4 linked regions of the Cricetulus griseus genome follow. The main gene of each other region encodes a partner of the protein of the gene in region 4 in a complex. Links are inferred from orthologs where the notes say so. Each region holds a gene or a part of one and is shown on either strand. Other genes may lie near its edges. The genes, in order: Magoh, Magohb, Upf2 and Upf3b.

Region 1 (5,710 bases), on a different chromosome or scaffold from region 4:
CAGAGGCAGGGGGATCTCTGTGAGTTTGAGGCCAGCCTGGTTTACAAAGCTACACAGAGAAATCCTGTCTGGGAGTGTAGGGCAGGGGGCAGGGCAGGGGGGGGGGTGCGGCAGAGTTTTGATGTAGCTGTAATGTATGCTAGAAATCATAACAGAATGGAATACATGAACTTTATTGAAATATAAGTATGCCTAAATTTTGGCCATTATTTCTTACAAAGTAAAGCAAGAGTAACTTTGAACAAGCCTCAGATTTAATATCTGGGCCTTAATTTCCTATATATATATTTATAGAATATTCTGTCACATAAGTGTTTAAAATCAGGGTTAAAGAACATACATATATGCCAGGTGTATGCCTTATTTCCAGGGAGGCTGAGGCAGGTAAATATCTGAGTTCCAGGTCAGCTTGGTCTATACAGGGAGTTCCACAACAGCCAGACTAACCCCTGTTCCCTTTCAGAAGCAAACCCAATGCTAGGAACTATATCAAACACTGTAAATATATTTAATTCTGTGATAGTACTTAGGAGTAAAAGGTAGGTTTTATTATCCCTCATTTTGCAGATGGAAGTATAGTGACCAAGTTTAGCCAGGGAACTTATCTGAGGTCACATGGTCAGTATGGAGCATATTGAGGGTTCAAACCAACACAGAGATTTCAAAAAGTTGCTAGTTATTAATTCAGCAATCCAAATAAATAAATAAATAAATAAATAAATAAATAAATAAAAAACATGCAAACCAAAGATGTGAGAAATAATCTAGCCGTGTAGAAATAGTGCTTAGCTGGGTGTGATGGAGCACACCTTCAAACCCAGCTTGGGAGTTTCAGGATGGCCAAGGCTATACAGAGAAACCCTGTTTTGAGAAACAAAAACAAAAAACCAAATAGAAAACAAAGAAAAAGAAGTATTTGTTTCTCCACTCTTTACTTTTCATTACTATTACCAGAGAGCGCAGAAACAATGTAAAGGGCTCACTGGTAGTGAAGGACAGGGTCCTACCTCTTTTCTGATCATGACATCATTTTTGTAATTGCTGTTGTTGGCATATCGAAGTTTTCCTGTGGGGCAAATAAATAAATAAATAAATAAATAAATAAATAAATAAATGCAATTTACAACAAAACATCAACTCAGTAGCCTACTAACAATACCAACTTTGCCTAAATTATATCCAATTCTCTCTCTTGGCTGTCCTGGAACTCGATCTGTAGACCAGAATGGTCTCAAACTTACAGAGATCCACCTGCCTCTGCCTCCTGAGTATTGGGACTAAAAGTGTGGGCAACCACCGCTGTAGCCGGCATTATATTCAATGTTCAACCCAATTCACAGCTATTATATTAGTCTTTACAGTGCTCCACTTTAAATTATGAAACAGCTGAAGACTAACCTGACACTGAAATAGAGTTCAGGCAAAAGTTACTTTGATTTGGCAAAAGAACACAGGCAGGCTCTTTTACGACTCTGGCAAATAGCTTTTCAGCAGGTCAATGATCTCAGCTGTAAACAGAAATGATAATTGCTAAGTTCCCTGCACAGAGAACATGCTGAAAGTATTTTGAAAACGGTAGGAAGCGACATACACATGCCCATGTGGTCTTGTGGTATGATCTATTTCTGCATACTTTTAAATTGAGCACATTTGGTTCATAAGTCCTTCTGTGCATGAGTACAACCACCAGGCTAGTTTGGGTATATAGTGTCATGTGGCAGAAAAAAACAGGGAACTTTGGGGAGAAGCATCTAATTTAGTCTGACTGTCTGAGCAGGTTTCATGCATAAAGTGACTTAGGTGGGTGGAATATAGGAAGAATGTGAAGTGTAGGTGTGGGCTAAGGGACCAAGAATAGAGAAGATGGTGTTTTGGACCAAATTCACATCAAAGACACTGGAAACTAAAAAGTGCTTGGGATGTTGCAGGCAGAAACAAAGTAGTGTGGGCAGAGTATTGTAGGGTTGAAAAGGCAGACAGGAACTCAGCTTGGCTGTATGCCATGGTAAGGGGTTTGAATTTTGTCAGGAAGGCAGAGGGAAGTTATTGACAGTATCAGAGAACTACAGTCATCTAATTACACAGGCCTCTTGCTACATGTTCTTGTCCATCTTATAGAGAACTAACTGAAAAAGGGAAAGATTTGAGTAGAATTGTCCTTGCCTCCTCACCACACCACAACCGTCCCAAAATATTATCAATCAGATACATTCAGATCGTCTCCAACAGTATCCTAAGTCTTCTCCACGTCTATAGTCCTAGCTGTCCTAGTCCCGACCGCCATCTCATGTCTATTCTGTGTCCAAGCGCTAGGATGCTTTCTGAAGATCATCACACCTTTTCTCTTATAAGCTTCAAGCTGTTTCCTGCTGCTCCTATTTATGGTCTACAAACACCTAACATCATCTCCTACTGGTTTCCCTAGAATTCTGTCCTTCAGTCACCTCAACGGCCATCTGAAACATGCCTGGTTCTTTGCTGTCCTATGACCTCTACATTTGCCACTCCGATAGAAGACTTTTCTTCCTGAGCTTCACAAACTGACTGGTCCCTTCTCGATTCCGGCTCAATTCAAATACCCACTGTTCAGAGTGCTCTCGAAAAAGAGACCCTATTTTCGGATCACTCCTCACTACAGGAGATCACTGTTTATGGTTTCTCCCAGTACCTAAACACATGTTCCACGAGAGGGGAAATTTATCTTCGTGGCTCTGTCCCCAGAGTGGAACACGGCCCGGTGTAAGATGGACATTCAATCAATCTTTGTTGAAACGTTAACAACCTGGCTTTTTAAAGCCACTAAGAAGCCGGGCGTTGGTGGTGCATGCCTTTAATCCCAGCACTCGGGAGGCAGAGGCAGGCGGATCTCTGTGAGTTCGAGGCCAGCCTGGTCTCCAGAGCGAGTAGGCTGCCAGGACAGGCTCCAAAGCTACACAGAGAAACCCTGTCTCGAAAAACCAAAAGAACCCAAAAGTTACTAAGGAGAAGCTCCAGCGTATGGACAGAAAGGACCAGTGAGGCCGAAAGAAAAGACTACGCCTTTCACAACCCAAGAGCTCCGGTCTCAGTCCCTTCCTTCACAAAAGCCGCGGCCCGGCCTCTCCGCCCTCCCCCAGGTCCCGTTTCCCTTCCTTGTAGGCGGGAGGCCGCTCTTACCGTCAGGTCGGAATTCAAACTCCAGGAACTCATGACCGAACTTGCCTTTGTGACCCACGTAGTAACGTAGGTAAAAGTCACTCTCCATGGCTCACACGGGACAATCAAGACCGAACTTTACGAACAGATCACACTACCACGATCTGCGCCCTCTACTGACGTAACGGCGGCGCGCGGAAGTGACGCCACAACCGCGCCGTTAATAACAGTTTTTTCACCCTTGGGAGGCGGGAACGAGACTACCCCGCCCCCGCGTCCTGCGGCGAGATCCGGATCACCGCTCCTCCTTTCCGGAAATCGAGTGCTTTGCGAGGTCCTGCGCTTCCGTTACGTCCTGGGCTTCCACGGGGCAGCTTTACCTATAGGCTTAGGGCCAACCCTGCGATCTGTAGTCCAGTCAGGCTCAACCGCAATGTAAAGACACACGAAAGAGGCCATTCACACTCTGAACCCAGGTGGTCTCCACAGTAAAATGGGCAAAAAATGGCTCCCCCATCTTTGAGCACGCTGCCCCCTTCCCCACCCCCAGGGTCTGAATCAGGAGTTGCGTTTGAGGGGCAGTGTAGTAGCGAATAGCTGTGGCCTAGCACTCAAAAGCTTAACGCCGCCCAGGAGTCACGAGTTGAGGCTAGAGGCTGCATACTGTAAGACCCTGTCTCGAAAAAGTTCGCTTTACTTTTTTTTTTTTTTTTTTTTGAGACAGGGTTTCTCTGTGGCTTTGGAGGCTGTCCTGGAACTAGCTCTTGTAGACCAGGCTGGTCTCGAACTCACAGAGATCCGCCTGCCTCTGCCTCCTGAGTGCTGGGATTAAAGGCGTGCGCCACCACCAACGCCCGGCTCGCTTTACTTTTGTGTGTTTGTTTTGGGTTTTCCAGACAGAGTTACTCTGTTTAACAGCTCTGGCTGTCTCTTTTAAGAAAACTTTTCCCCGAGCAGTGTTAGTGCACACCTTTAATCCTTAAGGCAGGTGGATGTCTGTGAGTTAGAAGCCAGCATGGTCTACAGAGCGAGTTCCAGGACAGACCCCAAAGCTACAGAGAAGCCTTGTCTCGAAAAACAAACAACACCCCCCGCCCCCCCCCCCCGTTTTCAATGACTCCTTCCCCAATCCACAACGTTGCCTGGAACTTGTCTGCACTGCCAACATCCCCTTCTGCCGTTTGCTTATTTTACAATTTATAGGCAAGGTGCAGACTGACGGGGCACTTGTGACCCTCCTACCTCAACTTCCAAGAGTGTCACCTCTTAGGCACAAGTTGCCTCTCATCTCTCCTGTCTCCCAGGCTCACTGCTGTCTAGGATAGGTGCTGTGGGAGGATGTTAAAGTGGACATTGGATTCCCACTCCCAGATACCTTACCCACAGTGATTCTAAGCCACACACACACACACACACACACACACACACACACACACACACACTGTGGGAGGATGTTAAAGTGGACATTGGATTCCCACTCCCAGACACCTTACCCACAGTGATTCTAAGACACACACACACACACACACACACACACACACACACACACACACACTGTGGGAGGATGTTAAAGTGGACATTGGATTCCCACTCCCAGACACCTTACCCACAGTGATTCTAAGACACACACACACACACACACACACACACACACACACACACACTGTGGGAGGATGTTAAAGTGGACATTGGATTCCCACTCCCAGACACCTTACCCACAGTGATTCTAAGACACACACACACACACACACACACACACACACACACACACACACACTGTGGGAGGATGTTAAAGTGGACATTGGATTCCCACTCCCAGACACCTTACCCACAGTGATTCTAAGACACACACACACACACACACACACACACACACACACACACACACTGTGGGAGGATGTTAAAGTGGACATTGGATTCCCACTCCCAGACACCTTACCCACAGTGATTCTAAGACACACACACACACACACACACACACACACACACACACACACACACTGTGGGAGGATGTTAAAGTGGACATTGGATTCCCACTCCCAGACACCTTACCCACAGTGATTCTAAGACACACACACACACACACACACACACACACACACACAGGCCCAGGCCAGGACTTTGGCACCGGGCACATGCGTTTAATCCCAGCACTTCAGAGGCAGATCAGGGGAGATTTCTGAGTTTAAACGCAGCCTGGTCTACCTATCGAGTTCCAGGCCAGCCAGGACTACAAAGTGAGACCCTCTCACAAAAACAAACAAACAAAAAACCTGAAACCAAAAAAACTAGGTGAGTCAAACATGGGGTTGTTTTATTTAAGAGTCAAAGTTGACCTCTGTGAAAGTTTGCTGGCTGTGGGAATTTTAAGGTCGACTAGGTAAAAAGCAGTAAAATGTGATTATAGGAGACTGACAGACATCTTCATCAAATAAGCCATCTCACCACCACCTCCTCCACCACTGTTTTCTTATTTGGTTTTTGAGTCTCGGTGTGTAGCCCCGGCTGGCTTGGAACTCACTATGTAGACCAGACTGGACTTCAGCACAAATATCTGGCCCCCCTACCCCCACCC
Region 2 (5,429 bases), on a different chromosome or scaffold from region 4:
TTTAATTTTCTCAGTTCTGTGTTTGGCAAAGTTGATTACTGTGTATCTAGTTAGTTAATGATCAAACAGGTAGAGATACAATTAGGCGGTGACAGTGTTGAGATTGTACTTTCCCAGGATTACTGCAGAAGGCTATCAGTCACCAGATAGGATTACTCAGTGCTGGTAACAGAGAGGTGATCAGGATTCGAAACTCGGACTGTGTGCAAGCTCACTGTCATTTTGTGCTCTTCAATACCATCTCACACCATAATGCTCCTTACCTCTCCAGTTTAAGCCATTGGGAATTGTGGCCTACCCCCCCCCCCAACTGTTAATCCTTACAAATGAAGCGACTCATAAGTTCTACTTATGAAAAACTTTACCCCGATGGCTGTCTGGGCTTTTCAACTTCATGTGCTGTTTGAACACCAAACTTCCCACTAGAGCGATTCATTTTACTTTTGTCTTTAAAATTTTATTTCTTTTTCCTTTTCTTTGTTTGCTCTCTTAGTCTTAGTTTAGGCTGTTGGCTACTGGGTAACTGTGAAGCACTGTGCAAAGGCTTGTTAGGACTCAGGAAGATATTCTGGTTGCCACTGGAATGCATCTTTACTCACCTCACCAGTTACAGGAAGTAGAGCCACACCCCGCTTTACAATGTGCTTCGAGATCAGAGATACCCACAAGAAGTGCAGCTTGTAAACCTTGGCTAAAAACCCAGAAAAGCCACACCCACACCAGAGGGCAACCAGAAAGTACAAGTGGTTTACGAATGTTCCTCCCAAGCCCATTAAAGAAAAAAAAGAAAAGCTATTTGTTCATTACTAAGATAAAATGAAATTGGAAGGAAAAAGGATGAATCTGGAAATTATTATAGTAAGTGGGGGGTAACCGTGAAGTATTAAGACAGATAACCCATTCACTCTTGAACGTGGATCTTAGCTTGTGTACGTAGTTAGATGCTTTTGAGTGTTGGTTATCAAACCAGAAAGGGGACTGGGGGCTAGTTAAAGAAATGGACTGACGAGGTAACAAGGTGCATTTGACAAGACAGTGCGTGTTATGATAATGTGTGGGGAACCTTGGCAGGCGAGGGACAAACATGCCAGGCAGGCAGAGTTTAAGTGAGATTAGAAAGGGAAAGGAGGGGGGGCGGAGGAAAGAGAAAAGAGACACAGAGGCAGAGAGAGAACAGAAGAGAAGAGGGAGACAGGAAAAGTCCTGTCTGCCCCAAGGGAGCAGCGGGAAAGAGAGCCTGAAAGAGAGCATAAGAGGGCGGGGTGGGGTGGGGGTGTGTCTCTCTCTTTTAAAGGGGGTCCTTTGCACCTGCGTGCAGACTTCGCAACCACGGACCCCTGGGCTGACCCGGGTACTGCCCGAGTGCATTCTGCCAGGTGACGGGGACAGGCAAGCATAATGCCTGAGTCCTTAAAGTGCGAGCAGGAATACGCGGGCAGAAGGGCTGGAGGCAGTAGATGGAGGAGGTCACACCCAAACAATACAGAATCCAGGTCATGAAATCCGGGGACTTCAGCCTCCATCGTGCTCGTGCAAGCAACCCTTACTAAACTCGGTGAGGGCCCCCGACCCACCCGCAACCCAGACACAAGGAAGACAGAAAAGGAGACAGAAAAGGAGAGAGGGTAACGAGGAGGAAGTGACTAAAATTCATCATACACGTGTATGAAAATCGTCCAAGAACTAAAAGGGAAAGAGCAAACCATATAAAAATCCTTTCCCAAACGAAAACAACGTGCTTGGGATCTCGGTGCAGCCGCTGCTGCGCGAACCTCTAGCTGTCCTCAGCGTGTCCGGCGGGACCCGCGGCTCCCCTGGCTTTCTTTTCCCTAGGGAGAAGGCGCGCCCGCCGTGACGTTCTTTGCCCGCGCCCCTGACGTCACTGCCCCGCGCCGGCGGCACGTTGGCCTGGCCGTGCAGCGGGCTGGGCCGACGGCAAAAATGTCTATGGCTAGTGATTTCTACCTGCGCTACTACGTAGGGCACAAGGGCAAGTTCGGGCACGAGTTTCTGGAGTTCGAGTTTCGGCCGGACGGTGAGCGGCGGAGGGGCCGCGAGGGAGGGCGAGCCCCCAGCGGGTGGGTTTCTATTTCTGTTCTTCCTTTCTGTGTTATTTCAGTTTTCCTGTTTGGTTTTGAGTCCGGGGTGTGTGTTGGGAGGGGGGGGGGTCTCGTTGTTTAGTCCAGGATGACTTCGAACTCCCGGTCCTCCAGCCGGGCTGGAAGGGCTTCTTTCCGACATAGATTAGAAAGCGCCCGAGCGTGCAGCGTAGCGGGCTTGGGTGTTTGTTTTTGTGAGAGCAAAATTGCTGTAAAGGTATCCAGAAAAGCGCACCCAGCTACCGCCAGCGAAGTTGAACACGGAAAAATCGGAAACCCAGAATGCAGAGCCTGTGCCTCGGCAGTGTTGACGGAATTACCGAGTGATACTTCAGCAGATACTTGAAGTCTTTGGGGGGCCTTTTGGCCTGCTCGCTCATTTACTCTGTGTTGAGGATGCTTTCTAGGGGAGGAAGCTCCCCTGTCTGAACAGGAGTGTGATGTGTGTTAGGCATTGAAATACCGTCTTTATCATGATACGTGGATGGATGGAGGTCAGAGGGAAGGCCCTAAATGAAAGCTTCCCAGAAGCGCCTTTCTCATTGCCTACTAGGTGTTCAGCCCTGTTAAAAAGAAGCTGACTATCTCCTCCCCAGCCACTGGCTGTCAGAGCAAGTAGACGGTGAACACAAGCTCTGTGCTTTCTGAGAGAGGCAAAGGCGGAGGAAGTAGCTGCTGTTGCTCTGGGTGGAGAGTGGAGGACTTGTGTGGTCCCACTCATTGGTGGGAACGACAGATAAGGTTTCCCACGAAATAAGGCTTCATGACCCCCTGCAGAGTGTGTCTGCTGTCCAGTAAGGAGCATACTTGCTGTAGATCAAGGAGAAACATTGTGGATGCCAATCTGATTGTCTTCAGATTGGTTATCATTAAAAAAAAAGGATAGTCCTGGACTGACAGCTAGCAGAGTCCTAAAGCTTTTCAATTTCTCTAAAGATGGTATCTACCAGTATTTTGTCAGAAAGCTCTTAAACAAAGAAGGTAAGAAGTCCGGGGCCAAAGCACCCAAGATTCTCAACTCCAACTTACTGCTCTGAAGAAACAACACACTAAGAAAAACGACAAAGCTGCAGGATATGCTACACTCTTGGCCTACAGAATGAAGGAAGCCAAAAACAACAACAACAACAACAACAACAACAACAAAAAACCAAACCAAACACCAAAAAAAACCCCAAAACCCAAAACAACCCCCAAACAAAAAAACACCAGGCATAGATTTCCAAGAGACATAGGCTGTCCTTGCTGAGAACTTCTACTTTTAAGTCTGAGTCCAGTAAAGAGTAACAAATAAATGATCAAACCTTGAGTTGAAAAAAGAAAACAAAAACAAACAAAAAAACCCCAAACCCAAAAGCTTCCCCTAAACCAGGTGTGGTGGCTCATGCTTCTAATCCCAGCACTTTTGGGAGGCAGAGGCAAGTGGAGCTCTGTGAGTTCCAGGCCAGCCTGGTCTATAGAATGAGTTCTGGGATGGCCAGGGCTATACAGAGAAAGTCCTTCTGTAAAAACAAAACAAAATACCAAAAATAAAATACAATAAGCCAAGCTAAAAAAAAAAAAAAAAAAAAAAAGTCCCAACCCCATAAAAGCTTCTCCTAGAAGATGAGACACTTGAGATCAAAAGGAAACACTTTCTTGTCTTCTGGGTGAAAGAAAAACCAGAGATGAGCAGAGTGAGCAGTGGTTTGTGGAAGCCCCTCCAGTGTAGTGTAAGGCAGTTCTGTCTGGACAGATCTGCTTTCCTGGGTTTTATTTTTGAATACATATTTAAGTGCCAAAGCTGAAGGTCGAACGTGAGACACAGACTTTTGTTTTTGATTTTGTTTTTTTTGAGACAGGGTTTCTCTGTGTATCTTTGTAGACCAGTCTGGTCTTGAAGTCACAGAGATCGCCTCCCCCTGCCTCCTGAGTGCTGGGATTAAAGACATGTGCCACCACCGCCCGGCTGAGACACAGGCGTTTAATCGTATGACTGTATAGATTTTAATTAAGTGCTGTGGACACGCTTCTTTGAAAAGGAAAGTAGGAGAGGATCATGTATATGAATCAAGCTTTGCAGAAGAAGTCAAGGTAACTGTGATCCTGTAGTTGTTTAGAAACTTAATAACTTTACCCTTTGTTCTCCAAAATTTGTTTGGAGCAAACTTACTTTGTTTTTTTGTGGTTGTGGTGGTGGTTTTGTATTTTTTAATTTGATTTGCTTTTTTTATTTCTTTTGTAGTTCTGTTCTTAGCCCCCTTGGCTGTGAGTGCCATGCAGCTTGTCCTTGTCACCCCGAGTCACACAAATAAGAGTAATACTTACCAGGGAAATGCTCTGTATGGATTGGTTCTCATGCACCTTTGCCACCCAATCATTCCACTTACATGAGAAATAGTGACTCACAGAATTTACAGTTCTTGCTGGGTACACCCCAGTATGGTGATCTGTCATTTTAGCAGATAAGAAAGCCATCACAGCTGTATCAGCCCATGGCTGACTAGCCATGCAGGGATGCACACTTTGGGAGCTTCGGAGGTCATGACAGATGGTTTGAAATAAATCAGCCAACAAACTGGCAGTTTACATGGTCTGCATGCTTCCAGTTATAATTTAAAGATTTTTTTCATTATCTTAATTATACACTAATTTGAAGGAAAACAATTAAGAGAATATTTTGGAATAGTAGAGAAAGGGTTGATACAAAGGAGACTTCTTGAGACTTGTGTGACTCTGAGCAAGTTGCTTAACTTGATTTTATGCCCTGTGAATAGGTGAGAAAGTGGAAGCTGCTGCTCGAATTCCTTTAGAGATCAGAAGAAATGCTGTGAGAGCTGCCTTAAGCATCAGCATGTCACACTTGAAGAGAATACTCAGTGCTTTGTCACAGTCACGTTTAGTTTAGGGGCTAGATTGAGAAAATAATCTTGTTTGTTGTGAACAACTTTAATCCCAGCAGTTAGGACACAGACTGAGGCAGGTGGATAGATCTCTGTGAGTTCAAGACCACCAACCTGACTACACAGTGAGATCTTGTCTCAGAAAGGGGAGGGGGGTGAGAACAGGCCTTAAGAAACCTGACCCATTCTAAATGGAAGCTGTGGAACATTTTTTTAATTATTAGTTTTTATTCTTTTATTAGTTCAAATTAGGAACAAGCTTGCTTCACGTGTCAATCCCTTCTCCCTCTCCCTCCCCTCCACCCAACATCCCAACTGCCCCTAGCCATCCCCCCTCCACTCCCCAGGCAGGGTAAGGCCCTCAAAAGGGGCTCCCCAAATTCTACCACATCATGCTGTGGAACATATTTAAGTTTGCTAGCTCACTTTTATATTATTGAGTGTTTAT
Region 3 (4,945 bases), on a different chromosome or scaffold from region 4:
GCAGAGGACCCCAGCATTTGGAGATGCCAGTACCATGGGACAACCACCAAGGACAGCAGCAGCAGTGGAGTAGAGTCAGCCACAGTGGAGAGGACAAGCTGAGTGAAGAGGGCAAAGCACAGGAAATGATCCAAGACCTTTGGTGAAGTCCTGAAGACCATGAGTTGAGCACACACATTGGATGTTGTATTGTTCACACAGCTGGAGTTTGGTTTTGCTTTGGTTTGTGGCTGTGCTCTGGTTCTCTCTTGAAGTAAGAAAGTATTTAATTTTGATTTTATAGGAGCCCACAGCTGAAAGACTTTCAACTTTTTAAGAAGATTTTGGATTTTTAGAGAGAGTTGATATTTTAAAGAGACTGAACTTTTAATGCTTTTCAATTTGTAAAGATTATGAGACTTTTAAAGTTATTTATGTTTTTAATGTGAGATCTTGGGGGTGGATAAGAAAGGAAAGACTGTGGCTTAATAGTGATGTGTTTATGCGTCATGTCAACAATTGGTTAGTTGTACTGGCTGGTTTTGTGTGTCAACTTGACACAAGCTAGAGTCATCAGAGCCTCAGTTGAGGAAAAGCCTCCATGAGATTCAGCTGTAAGACATTTTTCTGAATTAGTGGTCAATGGGGGAGGGCCCAGCCCATTGTGGGTGATGCCATCCCTGGACTGCTGGTCCTGGGTTCTGTAAGAAAGCAGGCTGAGCAAGCCTTGGGGAGCAAGCCAGTAAACAGCACCCCTCCATCAGCTCCTGCCTCCAGGATCCTATCCTGTTTGAGTTCCTATCCCAACTTCCTTTGGTGAACAGCAACATGGAAGTGTAAGCTGAATAAACTCTCTTTTTCTTCCCAACGTGCTTTTTGGTCATGGTGTTTGTCATAGCAATAGAAACCCTAAGACAATAGATAAGTTAAGTTGTTCTTTTTCTTTTTTTAAAGTTGTGGTTTTAGATAAAATAGGACACAGAGGTTAGCTGAAGAGTTTAAGACTCTCACAAAGAAAGGATACAAGGAATGAGCTTGGAGGAGACTTGGAAACTAATATTTCTCATCATCTCCTAAGCTATTTTGTATGTTTAGCATTGATGTAACAGGCTTCAATAAAATTAACTGTACTGAGTCTAATCCCAAACTCTCAATTTGTTCACAAAAACACTAACAGAAACCCTTGTGAGGAAGAAGCAAGTGAAGGCTGTTTACCTCCCACCAGTCTTAAAGATTAGATCTGCATTAGGTGCTCCCTTTGGATGTTGGTAACGAGGCCGCCGCTCACGATTGGTGTTGGCTGGAGCTGGGCGTTGTGCAAGAGACTGCAACATTTCTGTGATTAGGAGCAAAGGGAAAAATGCTGTTAGCTCTTGTAAATATGTACTTCTACAAATACACAAATCACCAGGGAGATCCAGTTCATTGGCGTTCATATATACATAGTAACTTTCAAAAAACGAGTATTATATAGGCTAATGATTATGAGGTATTGAAAGCATGAAAAGGTAAAGGAAGTAACAATTTTGATATCTGGTATACATTGTTAGCAGGTTTCTTTTTTCTTTTTGAGAAAGTCTTACTATGTAGCCTAAGCTGTCTTCAAATGTTTGGTGATCTTCCTGCCTCAGCCTCCAGAGTGATGGCATTGTAAGCCTATGGCCTATGCCACATTCCTGGCCTATAAATTATTATTACTATCTTATACACTATCTTTTTTAAAAAAAGACTTATATATTTACTATGTATACAATGTTCTGCCTGTACACCAGGAGAGGGCATCAGATCTCATTATAGATGGTTGTGAGCCACCACATGGTTGCTGGAAATTGAACTCAGACCTCTGAGCCATCTTTCCAGCCTGCCTATAAATTATTTTATACCTTGATAATCTTCTTGTTCTTGTCGTTCATTGATATCTAATGTGAGCTTTTTCATTCTCATCCTCTCCTCTTGTTCTGCTTGTTGCTGGTTCCAATGATTTGCAGCAAGTTGGGATGACATGGGCACATTAAGAATCTTAAACTGGAGGAAAAATAACATTGGAATCACAAATAGCTTGATAAAATAGTCAAGTAGAATTGAATATATTAGTTTAGAAAGCAGTACTATTAGGCTGAGCAGTGGTGGTGCACACCTTTAGTCCTATCACTTGGGAGGCAGAGACAGGTGGATCTCTGCGTTCGAAGCCAGCCCAATCTACACAGTTAGTGCTAGGACAGGCAAGTTACACAAGAAACCCTGTCCAAAAAAAACCCAAAAACCAAACACCAAACAAATCAGAAAACCCCAATGTATCCTTCACTATACATCAGATTTGTCCAAATGATACCTGTATTATCCTAAGAAGAAACACAGCCTTTTGGCAGTGGATGAAAACCAGAAAGCCACTAAGTTTAATTGACTTCATGAATAGCAGTTCTCTGGAAGAAAATGCCTAGAGCCAGGACAACTTTTCATCCTGCAGACCAGTGATATGTAAACAACTTTTAAAAGGCTTTTATAAAGCAAAATGAAAGGCATATTCCTTACATTTCTACCTGCTTCCCAAACTATATAGGACAAATCTGACCCATCTTCCTCACTCTGAGTACTTCGTTTTGAAGATGAGACTGAAGCAACTGACCCAGAGATCCAGTTCCCTTTCTTGGAATGCTTGTTTTAAGCAAGGTGTTTCTAGCTTAGGAATGCATATGGCAGACAAACCTAGATAAAAATCTATAAAATCATGGCTCATGGTTCCATGGGAAATTTTTAAAGTAAGCTATACTAACCACCTAAGCATATAACCTAAAATCTCGGTTGCACTGTCCTAAGAGACCTAATGTATGACTCTAGATCAAAGGCATGATCACTCACTGAGCTTCTGGAGCATGTGTCAGTAACAGTAGGGGACTGAAGGTGTTTAAAGCTGGATCATAACAGCTGCATTTTAAAATTACATACATACATACATACATACATACATACATATAATATAGAGTCTCAAGTTATAGTAAGTACTAATTATTCTAGTTGAAACATGTAACAAATCATAATTCTTTATGGGTACTGGTTGCAAAAGAATGGTTTGTCTTCCAGTATTAAGTTAAATATACTTTGCTTTTTTTTTTTTTTTTTTTTGGGTTTTTCGATATAGGGTTTCTCTGTGGTTTTAGAGGCTGTCCTGGAACTAGCTCTTGTAGACCAGGATGGTCTCGAACTCACAGAGATCCACCTGCCTCTGCCTGCCGAGTGCTGGGATTAAAGGCGTGCGCCACCAATGCCCGGCTACTTTGCATTTTTTAAGCATTCATTTTATTTGCATATTTGCTTGTGTGAAGGAGAAAAGAGAGTGTTGGATTCCTCAGAGCTGAGTTACAGGTGTCTGTGGGATTCTGGTTTGCTGGAACCAAACTCCGGTCCTCATGATTGTATCGCAAACACTGAACTGTTGAGCCATTTCTCTAACCCCTACTCTCTTTTTTCTTCAAGACAGGGTTTCTCTGTGTAGCCCTAGCTATCTTGAGAAACTCACTCTGTAGACTACCAGGTTGGCCTTGAACTCAAGACATCCACCTGCCTCTGCCTCCTGAGAACTGGGATTAAAGGTGTGTGCCACTAGTGCGCAGTTTACTTTGTATTTTTAAAAACAAAATATGCTGAATTATATAACAGAGCTATTATGCTAAAATTTTTTAATGATCAAATTCATAAATATGTAAATGTAGACATTGATTTTTGACACTGTTTTTCTTTTACTTCTCTTCACCAACTCACTTCATTGATAAACAATTTTTTGCAGATGATGTCATAGTAAGTTTTTTCTAAACAGGAATCTGGTACACAAAGAGATCTTTCACTGAACTGAACAATTAAACATTCCTATACAGCAACAAATTTTACACTTGAAAAAAAAGCCGTTGCATCAAAAAGCCAACATCTAAAAGCTAAATAAAAAAAACAAAACCCACAACAAAATACACTTATTCAAACCACAAAATACCATGATGCTTCTTCAAATAATTTTCCTGAAACTGGCCTTCAGATTAATGACCCTGTTTCAACCTCTGAGAATTATAGGTGTGTATCAACATGCCTAGCCTTAAGGTACATCTTGATTTAATTTCAGAGCCTACAAGTTGTATACAGACTAAACAGCATGTGCAATCTGATGACAATGGATTTTTATGTGTAACTGAATATAACAAAGAGGAAAACTGTTGTATAGCTTTTCTTCAGAAAAGAAAATTCTAAGCTTCCTTTCAGTTAGTAAAACTCAGGACCCCAAGGTACATGCCAAGGCATGAGTAGCTATGCAGTAATGAGAACCAAGAAATACCTAATTATGTATAGTTGCTAAACACTGCCCTTTGGGCCCCCCACCATGTAAAGGCTTTGTGTATTGTATATGCTTTAAAATGCTAGAATTAAATTACCTTTTCAGACTTTGTGTGTGTGCCAAGAAAAGTCGTTGGCATGGGTAGGGGGTACAGCGGAAGAGCACAGAGGAGAATAAAGGAGACCTAAAATGTGATGACTAAGTTTCTTTTTAAAAAGTCTAGCTCAAAAAACTAAGTAGGCCTAGGGAAAAAAGTTCAATCTCTGGGATTTGAGGTTCCTGGTTTCAGTGGTAAATTAACAACTCCAGGTAACTGAAAAGTAGTTTTGGTAAAGATCTGGATATAACACCTAATTTAGGATTCCTACCAAAACCAGCTCTCACTTTCCTCCTTAGAGACTGAGTGAGCACAGAAAGCACAGACAGAGGGGTGGGCCTTGGCCCTATTATGTTGCTATAATCGAGACTTCACATACCAGCCAGCAAAAGAATGGTATAAAGTAGGACTTCCAAGATCACTTATCTAAACAAGAAAGTATGGACAAGAACAGAGATACTCAGGGCTGGAGAGATGGCTTAGTAGTTAAGAGCACTGAATGCTCTTCCAGAGGACCCGGGTTCAATTCCCACCACCCACCCAGTAGC
Region 4 (5,208 bases):
GAAGAAATATAAAGCCATAAGCTAGCCTATTAGTAATGGCCAGCAGGTGTCACATTAGGTGGAGCTGGCAGGAAGGAAATCCGGCAGAAGCTCAAGAATGCTGTGCCCCATTGCTTGTCTGTCATGGGGCAGTGTGGGTAGGGAAGAGATGCCCCCCTTACCCATTGCCCCTCACTGCCTGCAACAGACTAAAGCTGACCCTCCCCCTCACCAGCTGCAGCATTCAGGCAAGCAGGCCCCGCCCTTGCCTAGACAGCACAGCACAGCTGGCAGGGTATTTGGAGGTAAGGGTGACAGCAAAGGACAGCTGTCCCCATTACTCATCTGACATATGGCAGCATGGGCAGAGGAGAGATGCCTGAGACAGGTGGAGGAGCTGGCCATTAGGTCATAAGAGCCTGAGAGCTGTCCCTACCCCTCACCAGCTGCAGTGCTGAGAAGAAGGGCCCCTGGACCTCACAGGGGCAACACAGTAGAGCTGGCCCTGATGGTGTTGGTGTGGAAGAGCAGACCCTGAGGGCATGAAAGCAGGAGAACTGGCTCCATCCTTCACTGCTGCAAGAGGTGCATTAGCTTGGGCAATGCTGGAGAGCCCATCCTAGTGGTGAGGACAAGGAGGAGCTGGTGGGCTGATAAACCCTGAAGCAGCCTGGGCCCAGACCTAGGATTATGGACTTGACCAGCCCCAACATCCACTCCACCCCATCTGTGATCTGCTGGAGCACATGAAGGGACCTGACCCGCAGACCCAAAGCTACAGGATCTCCAGGACACAGGGCAACAACAGGATATCCAAGAGGAGGCCCAGTGAGGGCCCAACATTAGTAGTGTAACAGAAACCAGAGGCCGCGAACCAGATTCTTTGCAATGAACACTTGCAAGTAAAGAGATATGGACAAAAGGGTTTACTGTGTGATTCACTGTGTCACACTACAGATTCCATGACGAGATTTTTAATTTTTTCCTTTTTTTTCTTTTCCCTTCTCTTTTGTTTTATCTGAGAGGGGATGCAGGGGTAGAGGGGGATTAGAAGGGACAAGGAAATGAATGGGATCAAGATACACAATGTAAAAGATACATAGAATAAATAAAGAGGAAAAAAAGAATGTTGTGCATTTGTTGTGTGAAGGCAGTCTCACTTTCTGGCACAGGTTAGCCCTACATCCTACTATGTAGTCCAGGATGACCTCAAATTCATGTCAATCCTCATGCCTTGACCTGAGTGCTGGCATTGCAGGTTCGAACCACACAGACCAGCTTCATTTTGTTACAGTAAAAGAATGGTGAACCATGATCTGACCCCTCTTTTTGGTGGAAAATTTCCTTGCCTACTGAAGGCAGAAATTAATATCATTTATGCCCTTTCAAAGTTCCCAAGAAGTTAATTCAGTATCAAATGTTTAATCTCTGAAAACCAACAGCTACTTAACAAGGTTAATAAAGTCACTTAGCTTGGGGCTGGAGAGGTTATAGCTGAGTGGAAGAGGCCCTTGATTCCATTCCCAGTCCTATAAATAAGCCAGTATGTGAATAAATAAATGTACTTTCATATTTGAGTGAATTCAAAATTTATTGACAGCAATACAAAACAAGCTATGACTGAAAGCTGCCATTTAACAGGAACAGATATTGGCGTAGTTTCCGTCCTGGAGAGGGTATGCACTTAAGTCATCACACCTAAGATAAAACAAACACTAGATTGTCAGCAACTAAACAAGGATTACACTTTACCTATTAATAGAAAAAATGCTAAAGGCAAAATAAGACATTTACAAATATTTTTTGATGCTACTTTCACAGAAGTAAACAAAACAAGCTATAATTACAAAAACTTCAGACACAGGATATAGATGTAAGGTGACTATTAATCTTTTCCATCAGCCGTAATTTGTTCTATCCTGCACTCTACTTGTGCTATAATTACATGCTTGTTGCTTCTACACTACCAAGTCAATGGTTATCACCAACAATGCAAAATAGTTAGAGCCCAACAAGACTTAGTGTGCTTCTGCTCCATTCCAACTAAGACACTCCAAGCCAGGATTTAGAACACCTGTTGATTTTCGACCCTGCTCCTTTTTGGCTTGTCAAAGTTAAGTCCTTACTTGACATTTTTCACTTGCAATGCTCTTCCTACCTTCTTTTTCTGAGACATTAAAATTGTGAAAACTGCAAAAGACAATGAAATTGTTCTTCTGATTCTGAGCCTGCAATCTTATTCCTGCTTAGACACACTACACTCCTCTGCAGTGCACCCCACCAGCACAGCGACCCGTTTTCTTGTTCTCTGTTCCTTTGCCCTGAAGGCACTTCTGGATAGCATAATACGTGCTCTTTGGCTGCCTGGACAGTCAGGACACCTATGGCCATCGGGACTTCTCACTCCTCTCCTCCTTCTTTTCTATGGCTAATACCACTTTCCTGCTTTTTGTCCACTGGTGAATCTCCAGGCTTGTCATCAGGGGGACAGAGTCGACTTCGGCTTCGAGCTCCTGGTTGGTAAAGCTGCATTGCTGGACGATCCTGAAACAAAACAAAATATTCATGTTACAACACTGTTACTCTTCTTGAACATGGGGGATTTTAGAGACCTAAACTGTACTTTCACATACCCCCCTAATCAAGTTATACCAGGTCAAAGACCTGAATGTGTGCTACATAGTCCCATTTCCTCTCTCCATCTGAAAAGTAACCTCTTTCTTTTTTTTTAAAGGAGGGATTGAAACAAGAGCCTTGTGCATTAGTTAAGTGCTCTACTGAGCTCCATTTCCAGCCCCCTTTTTATTCATTCTGAGACAGGCTATCACTAAGTTGCCCAGGTAGACCTTCAACTTAACATCTTCTTGCCTCAGCTTTCTAAGTAGCTAGGACTACAGGCCATCAACACTAGCTATAGCTGCTGTCACTTCTTTATTTCACACAGGCTTTCTCTGTGTAGCCCTGGCTGGCCTCGAACTCACAGAAATCCATCTGCTTCTGCCTTCTGAATGCTGGGATTAAAGGTGTTTGACACCATACCCAATTAACAGTCACTTAAGAATCACATGTCTGGCCAGGCAGTGGTGGCGCAGGCCTTTAATCCCAGCACTGGAGAGGCAGAGACAGGTGGATCTCTGTGAGTTCAAGGACAGCCTGGTCTACAAGAGCTAGTTCCAGGACAGCCTCCAAAGCCACAGAGAAATCCTGCCTGGAAAAACCAAAAAAAAAAAAAAAAAGAAAAGAAAAAAGAAAGGAAAAAAAAGAAAAAAGAAAAAAACAATTGACAAATCTATTGCCTAGTTTTTGTTTTTTTTTAGTTTTTTTATTTAGTTTAGAAACAATCATATTTTACATATGAATCCCAGTTCCCCTCCCTCCCATTCCCCCACCAATCCCCCATCCCACCCCCCATTGAGGGTGAGACCTTCCATCGGGGATCATCAGTCTGTCACATCATTTGGGGGAGGGCCTAAGCCCTCCTCTGTGTATCTGGGTGGAGAGAGTATCCCTCCTTGGGGAATGGGCTCTCAAAGTCCATTTGTGCACTAGGGATCAACACTGGTTTCACTGTCAGAGGTCCCATAGACTCCTAAGTGGTACCCACTTTCAGAGGGCTTGGTTCGGTCCAATCTGGTTGCCGAACTTTCTGATTGGGGTCTGTGTGTTCTCTCTTGGTCAGGTCCACTGTTTCTGTGGGTTTCTCTAGTATGGTCTTGACCCCTCTCTACAACTATATTCCAGGACAGCTCAGTGCTTAATAGGGGGAGCCATTACAAATTTAAAAAGAAATCTGGCACTAGGGGAATGTCCAGAGATCTACAAGGATGACCCCAACTAAGAATCTAAACAATAGTAGAGATACTACCTTAAATGCCCTTCCCCGATAATGAGATTGATGACTACCTTATATGCCATCCTAGACCCTTCATCCAGTAGGTGATGGGAGCAGAAGCAGACACCTATCGCCTAGTTTTAAAATAATAATATTTTTATTAATTCTTTGAGAATTTCATACATGCATATAATGTATTTGCCTAATTTTCAAAGCTATCTCAAGATTACTTAATTAGCTCTTAATTTTTTAAATGTCAAAACTAAAACAAACAAGGGTATGGTAGTTTGAATGTAAATGCCCCCCCCAAACCTCATAGGGAGTGGCACTATTAGGAGGTGTGGCTTTGCTGGAGTAGGTGTGGCCTTGTTGGAGGAAGTATGTCACTGTGGGGGTGGGTTTTGAGGTTTCATATATGCTCAAGTTATGCCCAGTGAGACACTCAGTTCACTTTTGGTTGACTGCAAATCAAAGATAGAACTCTCAGCTCTTTCTCAAGCACTATGTCTGCCTGCTCCATGCCATGTCCCACCATAGTGATAAAGGACTGAACCTCTGAACTGTAAGTCACCCAATTAGAGTTGCCGTGATCATGGTGTGTCTTCATAGCAGAAGAAACCCTAACTAATATGACAAAGGACTAAGCTGTGGCTCAGTAATAGATGCTTGCCTAATCTGTGCAAAGCCAGTTTTAGATTCTTGGCCCTAGGGAAAAAATCTCTGGAGAAACCTTAACAACCTGCCTGTTATTCACCACCAGTAAATTGCCCTTTTTGGTGGAGGAGAGAGAACAGGGCCTAAGGTAGCCCAGACTGACTGACCTTCAACATGAACTCCTCCCATCTCAAACTTTCCAGTGTTGGGATTACAGACATGAGCCACATTGTCCCATGTAAAAAATTCACTATAAAATCCCAAACTACCTAAAATATGTTTAGGATGGGCTGGGGTTTTAGCTCAGTGGTAGACTACTTACCTAACAAGGTCCTAGCACAAATATATATTATATACATATATAATATAGGTAAAAATATTCATTAGATATAGACATTAATTTTGAATGAAAACTTTGGCTGGTAAGATGGTTCAGGAGGTGACTTTGATCCCTGGGGCCCACATGAAAAAGGAAAGAGCCAACTCTTGCAACCTGTTCTCTGACCTCAACTTGCACACATACATTAATTAAATTTTAAAATAAAAAGCCTGGGAGCTTCCCTGAAAGCTATGAGGTTAGAACCGAAGTAAATTGCCATCAACTTTTGAGAAAATGAACTCTCACTGTATTGTCAAGGCTGTTCTTGAACTCCTAGGCTCCTGTGATCTTCCTGCCTCCACCTTCCTAGTAGTTGGGACTGCATGTTTGCTAAAAACATGAGCTCAAATTTAGGTACAACCCA

What was found.
Region 1: Upf3b (region 4) and Magoh share a complex: the UniProt entries of both Homo sapiens proteins name them as parts of the mRNA splicing-dependent exon junction complex. The link is inferred for Cricetulus griseus from reciprocal best matches to the Homo sapiens genes UPF3B and MAGOH.
Region 2: Upf3b (region 4) and Magohb share a complex: the UniProt entries of both Homo sapiens proteins name them as parts of the mRNA splicing-dependent exon junction complex. The link is inferred for Cricetulus griseus from reciprocal best matches to the Homo sapiens genes UPF3B and MAGOHB.
Region 3: the proteins of Upf3b (region 4) and Upf2 are in contact, whole or in part, in a crystal structure (PDB 7NWU), measured with the Homo sapiens proteins. The link is inferred for Cricetulus griseus from reciprocal best matches to the Homo sapiens genes UPF3B and UPF2. Residues at the interface, in NP_542199.1 of Homo sapiens: Lys52, Arg56, Arg57, Tyr79, Glu81, Phe83, Asn85, Asp86, Thr87, Ser88, Leu89, Tyr90, His92, Tyr94, Arg96, Tyr98, Ile130, Glu132, Pro135, Phe136, Lys138, Ala139, Ala140, Arg147, Asp148, Lys150, Val151, Gly152, Thr153, Ile154; in NP_056357.1 of Homo sapiens: Lys767, Arg768, Pro769, Pro770, Leu771, Glu773, Tyr774, Lys777, Lys790, Arg793, Gln794, Arg796, Lys797, Leu798, Pro799, Trp800, Gln801, Cys811, Ile814, Asn815, Trp817, Tyr837, Gln838, Glu839, Asp840, Ile843, His844, Val846, Asp847, Gly848.

The regions. Positions count from the first base shown.
Region 1 is NC_048595.1:41,958,924-41,964,633, forward strand, and holds the start of Magoh (protein mago nashi homolog), read right to left. Parts: upstream 3,340-5,710; 5' UTR 3,245-3,339; coding exon 3,157-3,244; intron 1,067-3,156; coding exon 1,008-1,066; intron 1-1,007. UniProt on the Homo sapiens protein: Required for pre-mRNA splicing as component of the spliceosome. Plays a redundant role with MAGOHB as core component of the exon junction complex (EJC) and in the nonsense-mediated decay (NMD) pathway.
Region 2 is NC_048601.1:16,031,810-16,037,238, forward strand, and holds the start of Magohb (protein mago nashi homolog 2), read left to right. Parts: upstream 1-1,867; 5' UTR 1,868-1,941; coding exon 1,942-2,035; exon of another isoform or gene 2,036-2,078; intron 2,079-3,964; exon of another isoform or gene 3,965-4,172; intron 4,173-5,429. UniProt on the Homo sapiens protein: Required for pre-mRNA splicing as component of the spliceosome. Plays a redundant role with MAGOH in the exon junction complex and in the nonsense-mediated decay (NMD) pathway.
Region 3 is NC_048596.1:223,229,904-223,234,848, reverse strand, and holds part of Upf2 (regulator of nonsense transcripts 2), read right to left. Parts: intron 2,005-4,945; coding exon 1,863-2,004; intron 1,316-1,862; coding exon 1,195-1,315; coding exon of another isoform or gene 1,191-1,194; intron 1-1,190. UniProt on the Homo sapiens protein: Involved in nonsense-mediated decay (NMD) of mRNAs containing premature stop codons by associating with the nuclear exon junction complex (EJC).
Region 4 is NC_048604.1:29,415,828-29,421,035, reverse strand, and holds the end of Upf3b (regulator of nonsense transcripts 3B), read right to left. Parts: intron 2,524-5,208; coding exon 2,380-2,523; 3' UTR 1,552-2,379; downstream 1-1,551. UniProt on the Homo sapiens protein: Involved in nonsense-mediated decay (NMD) of mRNAs containing premature stop codons by associating with the nuclear exon junction complex (EJC) and serving as link between the EJC core and NMD machinery.